Nothobranchius furzeri: one gene and its partner. The protein of the gene in region 2 interacts with the protein of the main gene of each other region in a pairwise test. Links are inferred from orthologs where the notes say so. Each region holds a gene or a part of one and is shown on either strand. Other genes may lie near its edges. The genes, in order: aig1 and rchy1.

Region 1 (4,462 bases), on a different chromosome or scaffold from region 2:
ACAGGTCCTACTTAATTCTATGAACAACATCATCGCCTTCATTTAGACACAAACATGTTTTCGGAGAAAAAAACAAAAAGACTTGAAGCACAACCAAAGTGTGGAAGCAGCCTCTGGGAGAGAGGCTAAATGTCTCCAACATATCCAGAAACATCCAGCTGTTTTCAGCTGAAACTCTCAGGATGATCATGTCCAGGATGACTGAGAACTACACCTCCATGCTGCAGCAGCATTCAGTCAGAACAGGAAGTGAAACTTAAACGTAGCTGCTGTCAGTAACAACCTAACAGATTTTAAACATTAAACTCAGTGTGATCAGCTCTGAAAAGCGTTGATCATAATTTGCAGATCCCGTCAATTTTTCATGGAGATCAGCCGCGGATTCCTCTTCCGTCAGCATTCTAGGAATCGAAACTAGGAATCGAAAAAAAAACAGACTTTGAACGATCCCGGGAAAAATGAACAGTTGGAACCGGTTCCAATCGATGCTCGTTGCCCAACCCTAACTGGAGGACATTAGGGTCGAGTCTCTGCAGCTTATTCATGTGTACCGATTTGTTGTGAAGGACTTTGCCTTGCATCAAACTGGCTAGATAAATAAAGTTTCAATTGAGTGTTGGATCAGAATCCTAGAAGATAAACCATGTCTGTGAGGCATGAGCAGGACTTTCCTGAGATGCATCACAAAAGCCTCATGTCCTACGGATCCTGAACGCACCATGAGAGGATGGCCTCAGGGTCCAAAGTGTCTCCATTGTTGGACAGAGGCCAGGACCAGTTCTACTGAAAAGGGATGGGATTACCTGCCTTTCACCTGTGCTCTAGTTCAAGATGCCTGACTTCACACACACACACACACACACACACATTCGACGCAGGTTTTAGACCAGTCGAGGTGAACATCCTGTCTTGTTCTGTGTAATCTGAGCTCTGCACACAGGCTGTGTGTGTGTGTGTGTGTGTGTGTGTTTACACTCGCTCTCCTCTGAGAAAGGCTTACTTCCTGCCGCTCCAGCAGGAGGGACCTGATTCAGGAGATAAAGCAGAAACCTGCTCAACATCATTAGCGGTGCAGCTAGCTAAAATACAACAACGCGGTCCCTAAATGACGATTGGCCGCATCCCCCGTCGTTTTCTTTCCTTTTCTATTGGTTGTTCTACCTGTTACCTGCAGCAGGAGGCTAAGCTAGCAACACAAACATTAGCCATTAGCATGTTCAGCCTCTACCACTGATTGGTCGGTGCGGAGCAACATTTAACATGATTGACTGGTTTATACTTAACTTTTCTCATATGTCTTACTACCGCCCTATTGCCCAGCCCCATCTGCACCAAGCGTCACCATGGCAACATCATCTCACAGTTCTCTCACTTATTGACCTCTAGCAGCTGACGCTGGTCTGGCTGTGTGTTCTGGATGTTTGCATCCATCTCCTCACCGCTCCCACGGGGAAGGCCATCACAGCCATCATCCAGTCCCTCAGGCCGATCAGCTTCTTCAGCTGGCGCTCCTGCTCCCTGCTGTCGGCTCCTTTAGTCAGCAGACTGGACACGTCGATCAAGACACACAATCCGAAGAACACGGCCTGGATCACCTGCAAAGAGGAGCAGCGACGGACTCAGCAGCTGCCAGATTACAGAGAACACCCAAATGTCCAACGATGGAAGACAGATGATGCAAACTCAGAGTCACTGTAAGCTGATCAGACGTCCTGCACGAACGCAGCTCGTGATCCTCATCAGAAAGACAAGTAGCCTCCGTTTAGAAAGCAGCTAAATAAGTTCATTAAAAATGCTGCAATAATAACCAGATCCTGTCACATGATCTGTAAATCCTGCAGATTATTTCAGAACCCGCCTAAACTTCCCTGACTGTGTAATAAAACTCCCGTGGATGGAGCACGTTCACCATGATGGTTGTGACCTTTAGCTGCAGCAGAGTGGTGAAGAGGATGTCGGCATCCCCCATTCTCTCACCCCTCCAGAGTATAGTGTGTCAGCAATGGATGAGAGGATGAGCAGACACCGGGTCTGCTAGGTGCTTCTCCGCTACATAAATAAGATACTCCTATGAGTAGTCAGCTAGCGCCGACACACACACTCACACACACACACACTTTCCTTTTTTATTTTAGCTTTTTCTGCCAAAAGTGACACGGTAAATAAATGAATCTTAAAAGACGCACCAGAGGGCATAGCGATTTCTGTGTCATCCTGTCACCATAACACTCATGTATCTGGTTAAGGTTTGGGAGGAGTTCTGCTGTGTGGTGGAGTTGCTAATGCTAACATTAGCTTCTGCAAGCGGGGATGTTCTCTGCTGTTTCCTGGACGCTAAACCAACAACAGCCTTCCCCATCGTGAGTCCAGATGAACGTGAAGTGAACCATTTCTCTGAACAGAGGCTGTTCAGGAACAACTCAGAACAGCTGACTCGGAACACTTTACATGTGTTGGCGCACGCCGCCCGGCGGGGGGTTGTCTCTAACGACAACATTCAGCAGCACAACACCTGTTCCGGTTCAGCTCACCTCTACACGCATTATCAGACACGTGATTTCAGGTTCGTGATCTGAAACTATCCGGTTTTTGTTTCCTCCCTATCGTCACTAGAGCCGAACAAAGACAGCGGCGGGAAACCGGATCCTTTCATCCGAACCCGCGCAGCTCGAGCCGAGGGCGCCGCCGCCGGTGTTCTGCGTCCTACCCGTAGGCTAATTTTACGGTAAAACGGAGAGACAGGGACGGTAAATCCCACCAGGTCGATGAAGGTGAGGAACTTCCAGCTGCCGCCGTAGGTCTGGTGCGCCGGCATGTCCAGGGCTTTGTAGTGGCAGAGGATGGAGAAGTACGACAGCAGGATGGCGACCCGCAGCACCTGCGAGGGGATCAGCGCCATGATGCTTCCGGTCCCTCCGGTTGTTGTTTGTGTTGATGCACCTGCTTCCACCTGCCCGGTGTCTCCGGTTAGCGGTGGTTAATGTCCGGTTGTGTCTCCCCGCACCGCCCAGCTCCCCCGGGGTATCTCAACTGCTTCCGTGTTATGATGATGATGTAAGGGGGAGGGCGTTTCTACGCGTGATGATGAAGATGAAGGCCACTGCCTGGTTTTACTCCAATGCCTGAAATAATAAAACACGATTTTGTTTCTTTGTGTCTTCATTTATCCTCAGTTTATGTAAAGTACGTCAAATATTTAGTTTGACGTCATTTTTCAACAGATTAGATCTTCTGACCAGTAGGAAAACCGATCTACTGTGGCCCCAAAAGGGAAGTAGAGAAAAGGCTGCAGCCAGATCATCCTTCTTCCCACCTTGGGTTTTGTGGTTTTTCTTTGCTCTTTTTAATAGTTTTTATGGCATATGTGAATATTTCTGTTATTTTATTTGTGCAGCGCTTTGGTCGGTTTTAATGCCGTGTTAAAAGCGCTCTATAAATAAAGTAGAGCCCTACAGTCTAGAAAACTGCAGCTTTTCCAATAAAACAACATAAAACTAAAGGTGGGACTAAAATAACATTAAAATCATTCACACATTTAATCACATCTTGCATTTGAAGCAAGACGAAACCTTACACTGACACACACAATAAAGCCCTGCTTTGCTTATGTTACTAAAATCCTGTGTTGAATAGAAATATAATTAGAACCATTTTTTCAGAAATTAAAGAGAGTTTACAACATTGTCTGCGTTTGTTGTTTAATTCTGTGCCTCACTAAAATGATGTTTAATATAAAAATAGCTTTTGGGACGAATTTCTTTGAATGATTAAAATGCGATTAATCAAGAGTAATTAATCACAAACCCTCTGAGTAATCAGATACATTTTTAAATCGACCCCCATCCCCGAAAACCTTACCCTGGTTTTCCATAGGAAGCTTCAGTGGTGAATATTATAGGTTTTGATATACTTTTCCCCCGCGAGCTCAGCAGCACGACCCTTCCCACCGGGAGCATTTCAAACCCAAATCAGCAGCGAATGCATTCCACAAAGTTGGTCCAGTTAGGTTATGAACTCTTCACACGTGATTTTGGCAGCATGTATCCAAAAGGTATGTGGTTTAGTTCCCATTCTGTTTACCTCGGCTTTGGAGGTTTCACAGGTAATGACGTGGTCTACTTAACTAGTAAAATACCAAGTTTACTCACAAACTGTTTAATTGTTAGTCGGTAATTTAGTTTCCCATGCAGGCTAAATGTAAAAACAGTCTTCTACCACCCTTTCCTACATTAGCTATTGTTAGTAGGCTATAGATGGAGAAAAGCTCAGAACATCAACACTAAGTGCCTTTCATGACACTCAAGGCAAGGGCGCCCCCAAGGGGTGGCCACGTCCCCCCCCCCCCCCCCCCCAAGAGCCGGTGTTAACAAATCATATTAATGTTCAGTCAAACCATAAATTGATCTTATTTATTCAAGACATAATTGAAAAATAAAAATTATACAATTAATCAGTAAATGTG
Region 2 (4,365 bases):
TCCAAACACACAATAACCCGATTAGTGATGGCAGCTCATTTATGACATAAAGTGAGGTAAATAAAGCCCTCTAGCTTTGTGGACACGACTTTTTCTCTGGAACTCTTGCTCTTGTTTTCAACATAAGATCTGGGGCAGGTTTGAGTTTTCCTTTCATTTTGAGTCTTCTAGCACAAAGTCTTCAAATGTAGATGTTGGGAGAGCCCTATTAGAAGAAAGATTGTAAATACAGAAATAAGGAACTGTGCAAAAGTTTAAGGTAGGTGTGAAAAAATACTGTAAACAGAGAAAGCTTTTTAAAATGGAAGTGTTAATCATTTATTTTTCACTAATCAACAAAAAACAGTGAATGAACAAAAGAGAAATCTAAATCAAATCCGTATCAGATCTTCTAGCTACACTTGACCACAGCTGTTGAAGGAACTGGGCTGGTAGGTTGTTCCAAACATCTTGGAGAACCAACCACAGATCTCCTGTGGATGTAGGTGTCCTCACGTCCTTCTGTCTTCATGTGATGCCAGACCCTCCGTGATGAGATCAGAGCTCTGTAGGGGCCACACCATCCCTTCCAGGACCTTGAAACTAGTTCTGAAATGACTTTTGTTGGATGCTTGGGGTCACTCACTTTGCATTTTGTACATTGGTAAAAATAAACAATCATTGTTTACATTTCTAAAAACATTCTTTGTTTACAGCATTTTTTCCACACCTGCCTAAAACTTTTGCACAGCATTGTATAATTAGCATCAAACCACAAAAGTAACTGCCTGTGTGAATTCTTGGACAAAAAAATGAACCCATGATGTCCATCAGCATCACTTTGTATACGTATATTTAGATGTTCCAGCAGCTTGTTGCCAGATAATGCTCAGGGTCCGTCCCATATTGATAAAATGTCAGATAAATAGTGGTCCAGTGAGAGAAAACTAAAGCAGAATACTGCACCAACAACCTACTTGTGTTAGTGTGTCTGCTGTGGAAAGTCCATGCACGTTTTGCAGATATCCGAGGTAAAACTTCCAAAACTATCCTTTCCTTTTGTCAGCTCAAATATAAACATCACAGAGGGCCACATCATCCAAAAGGAGCCACGGGCCACAGCACCCTGCTCTTCTGCAGTTCTCACTCAAACAGTGGGTGAAAAGTACAAGACAGAAAATGCAGATGAACAATGAAAACTACCTTTTTTCCTCCTACAGCATAAAAATGCCAATAATCCCATCAAATATAGAAATGTATTCTGGCTAGATTTGAAGGTTAATAGGTGCAAATAGTGTTTTGTTAAATAGCCTCATTTCTTCCATGCGATATTTCAGTTTTTCTTTTTTGAATAAATCTGCAGAAATGTCTAAACTTCTGTTGTTCTGTCAATAAAGGGTGCTGTGTGTACATACATGAGGGGAAAATGAATTTAACTAATTTTAGCAAAAAGGTTGCCATATAAATACAAAGAGTGAAAAAATGATGGGGTCTGAATACTTCAGTGCCCACTGTATGTGTGCTATTCAGCTGACCTCTGACCAAACTCTGTGATGAATGTTCTCAGCGTTCTACCCGGATTCAGGCCGTGTTGCTTTTTCAGCACCAACCAAAGTTCAGCCCAGCTCTCGTGGGGTGGTACTTTTCATTCAGATAAATTGATTATAAAACATCTTTGTATAAATAGGTCAAATCCTAACAAATTAAAAAAGAGTGATCCAATCCAAGATTCAAGCTAAAATGGGTTCTTGAACTCAGTGTTCTTTGCTGCATAACAACAGCGAAATTCTTTACCAAATAAAAACAGATCTTCCTCTGAGGAAATGGACATGTATGAAGTAAACCAAGAAAAAACAAGATGGTCAGAAAGCCCGACAACTATTGTTCAAGACCACGTTAAAGGATGACGTCTGGCTCTAGACCTCTGCACTACGCTGAGGGTTAGTGATATTGGGACTACATCCTTACAACTCCATGGTCTCTCACCTGCATATTCCACAGGGCTGACAGTGGTACTGCTTCTTGTCCTTGTCAAACAGGTGACAAATGTCGCAGTAATACTCCCCAAACTGCATGTGACACTGCTGACAAGTCTGCTGCGTCTAGAGGAAAACAGCTCGTTTTTATTTCCACTCTTCTGATTAAATCATCGCAGAGATCACAAGGGAATGTGGGAATGACCACATTTAAGATGAGGCACACAGTAGCTCCAGGTGTTTACCTGCTGTAAGGTTTGACACTCGGAGCACTGCACCTCTCGGACTTTGAATCGGTCCATTTGGTGGTTCTCCTCTGCATCGTGGCACAGCCGACACACGTACAGTTTACCGCAGCAAGGTGCCTGCAGGTGTAGGGACAGGTTTAGTTCATCAGTCTGAGGCCAGCCTCAGCTCAGCTGTAAACGGGTTTGGTAAAACTCACGTAAACTTTCAGCTATATGGCATCATGTGTATATAATAATTAGCTAAATCTAAACGATAGTTTCTGATTTGATGGCAGATAACCCAAAAACTAAAAAAAAAAAAAAAAACAACAACAACCCTAAAACACTTTTCTCTTTTTAATGAAGGTAAGAGGAACGCGCACGGATCAGTCATTCATAACGTTACGTAACAATTTTCATATAAAACAACATTTCCATAAGCGACAAGCCACCTCTGCGTCGCCGCTAGCTTTGCTAACGACAGCACCAACAATTACAGTCCAAACACTCACATTTCCCTCAATACAAGCGATTTACTTCACACACTTTACCCACTTTCAAAAAACAGCTGCGGACATAATGCGAGCACCCAGATGGAGACGCCATGTTGCTTACGCTGAGGTCTTCTTCTTCTTCGCGTGTTTTCTGCCACCATAGTAGCTGTTTGGCAAGCCGTTTTGACATTTATTCAATGTTAATCGTTTCCCTTCTGTTCTATTATATGATGTGCGTGGCAGAATTGAAATATGGCAGCAGGAATGGATGTAAATTGCAAATTGAAAAAGTTCAGTTCATTCTAATGTGCATGAAAATTTCAGATAGGTCATATCTTTCATCTTCAAAATAGCATGTTCCTCAGCAGCACAACAGAACAATTACATTCTTTCTGGTTAGTGAACACTTTCAAAGTCTGATGTAAAAATCGTACTAGGAGAAACTTAAATGTCACATGTATGTAATTCTGTATTAATATAGCTAATTTTTTATATCTGATATTTAATGATAATTGATTTTGTTTTATTCATGTTTATACCTCTTGATTGATTTTGTTGAAATTAGGATGATGCATGTAATAACTGTATTGTTTACATGTTTATTTACTTTTGATATTTGTGACACTGTTTACATTTTGTAATGAATTAATGGGTTTTGTAATGAATTAATGGGTAGGCTTAAATAAGTTTAACTTCAGCCTATGCCTTTTCATTCATAAATTATATCTAAAGAAACTGTTTAATTTACAAGTGGAATTTATACTTGTGAAAATTATTATTATGATCTTTATTAGATAATTATTTTCCTTTTCATGTGTTTTATATGTATTGTTGTGACGGAAAAATAAATACAAATACAAATAGATACAAATAATCTAATTCTGGCAATCCAAAATGACAAAAAACACGTTATAACCATAGACTATAACAATGGATGGAACATATAACATGGGCACGGATCTGTAATATCTCCTTCTAAATGCTAAATTGATGCCTAGTGGGCGGTTCCCACCAATTACCATCTTAACCGCATCGGCATCTGGTCATTTTCATTTAAAAAAAGGGCAAAAAAGGTGAAGCTGATAGTGGAGCTGTGAGGGTGGGGGCTGATGATTGACACCCAGACTCTGAGCCAATGTAGCTAAAAGCTAACTAAAGCTAACGGAGGCCAGAAAATCATGGTTTAGCTACTTTGATATCCTCTATGACATGCTAAGTGTAAATAGCTGGTACAAATTATTTAGCAGACATTTTTTTATGTTTAGCAAATTTTTCCCTACATTTAACAACTTTCGTCACATTTAAAATAATGTTTAAATAACAGATAATTTCAGTTTATCTAACTCTTAAATCTAAACTTAAATGCTGAATCTAACTCTAAATGCTAAGTCAAGTCAAGTCAAGTATTCTTTTTTTCCACACTCGGTCCAATTTGCAGAAGTTGAAAAAAACAAAAAAACATTGTACAGATGAGATAAAATGAAATGAGCACCAAATGACATGCTAAAGCACAAAAGACAAATAATCCTGAAAACATAAACAAGAGCCACTAATAACAGTGGTGTGAAAATAAAGTGTAAGTCATAGTAACTCCCTAATCTAAAAGAGTAAAGACTGTTACACCAGTGTTTCCACATTCTTGACTGATAGTGTATTGCACTGACAAAGGTTGGATTTAAAACATCACAT

Evidence for each region.
Region 1: the proteins of rchy1 (region 2) and aig1 interact in binary tests that used the Homo sapiens proteins (3 or more experiments, as listed by UniProt). The link is inferred for Nothobranchius furzeri from reciprocal best matches to the Homo sapiens genes RCHY1 and AIG1.

The regions. Positions count from the first base shown.
Region 1 is NC_091742.1:15,117,182-15,121,643, forward strand, and holds the start of aig1 (androgen-induced gene 1 protein), read right to left. Parts: upstream 3,056-4,462; 5' UTR 2,900-3,055; coding exon 2,759-2,899; intron 1,596-2,758; coding exon 1,440-1,595; exon of another isoform or gene 1,381-1,439; intron 1-1,380. UniProt on the Homo sapiens protein: Hydrolyzes bioactive fatty-acid esters of hydroxy-fatty acids (FAHFAs), but not other major classes of lipids. Show a preference for FAHFAs with branching distal from the carboxylate head group of the lipids.
Region 2 is NC_091757.1:28,790,922-28,795,286, forward strand, and holds the start of rchy1 (RING finger and CHY zinc finger domain-containing protein 1), read right to left. Parts: upstream 2,858-4,365; 5' UTR 2,789-2,857; coding exon 2,738-2,788; intron 2,321-2,737; coding exon 2,201-2,320; intron 2,082-2,200; coding exon 1,966-2,081; intron 1-1,965. UniProt on the Homo sapiens protein: E3 ubiquitin-protein ligase that mediates ubiquitination of target proteins, including p53/TP53, TP73, HDAC1 and CDKN1B. Mediates ubiquitination and degradation of p53/TP53; preferentially acts on tetrameric p53/TP53.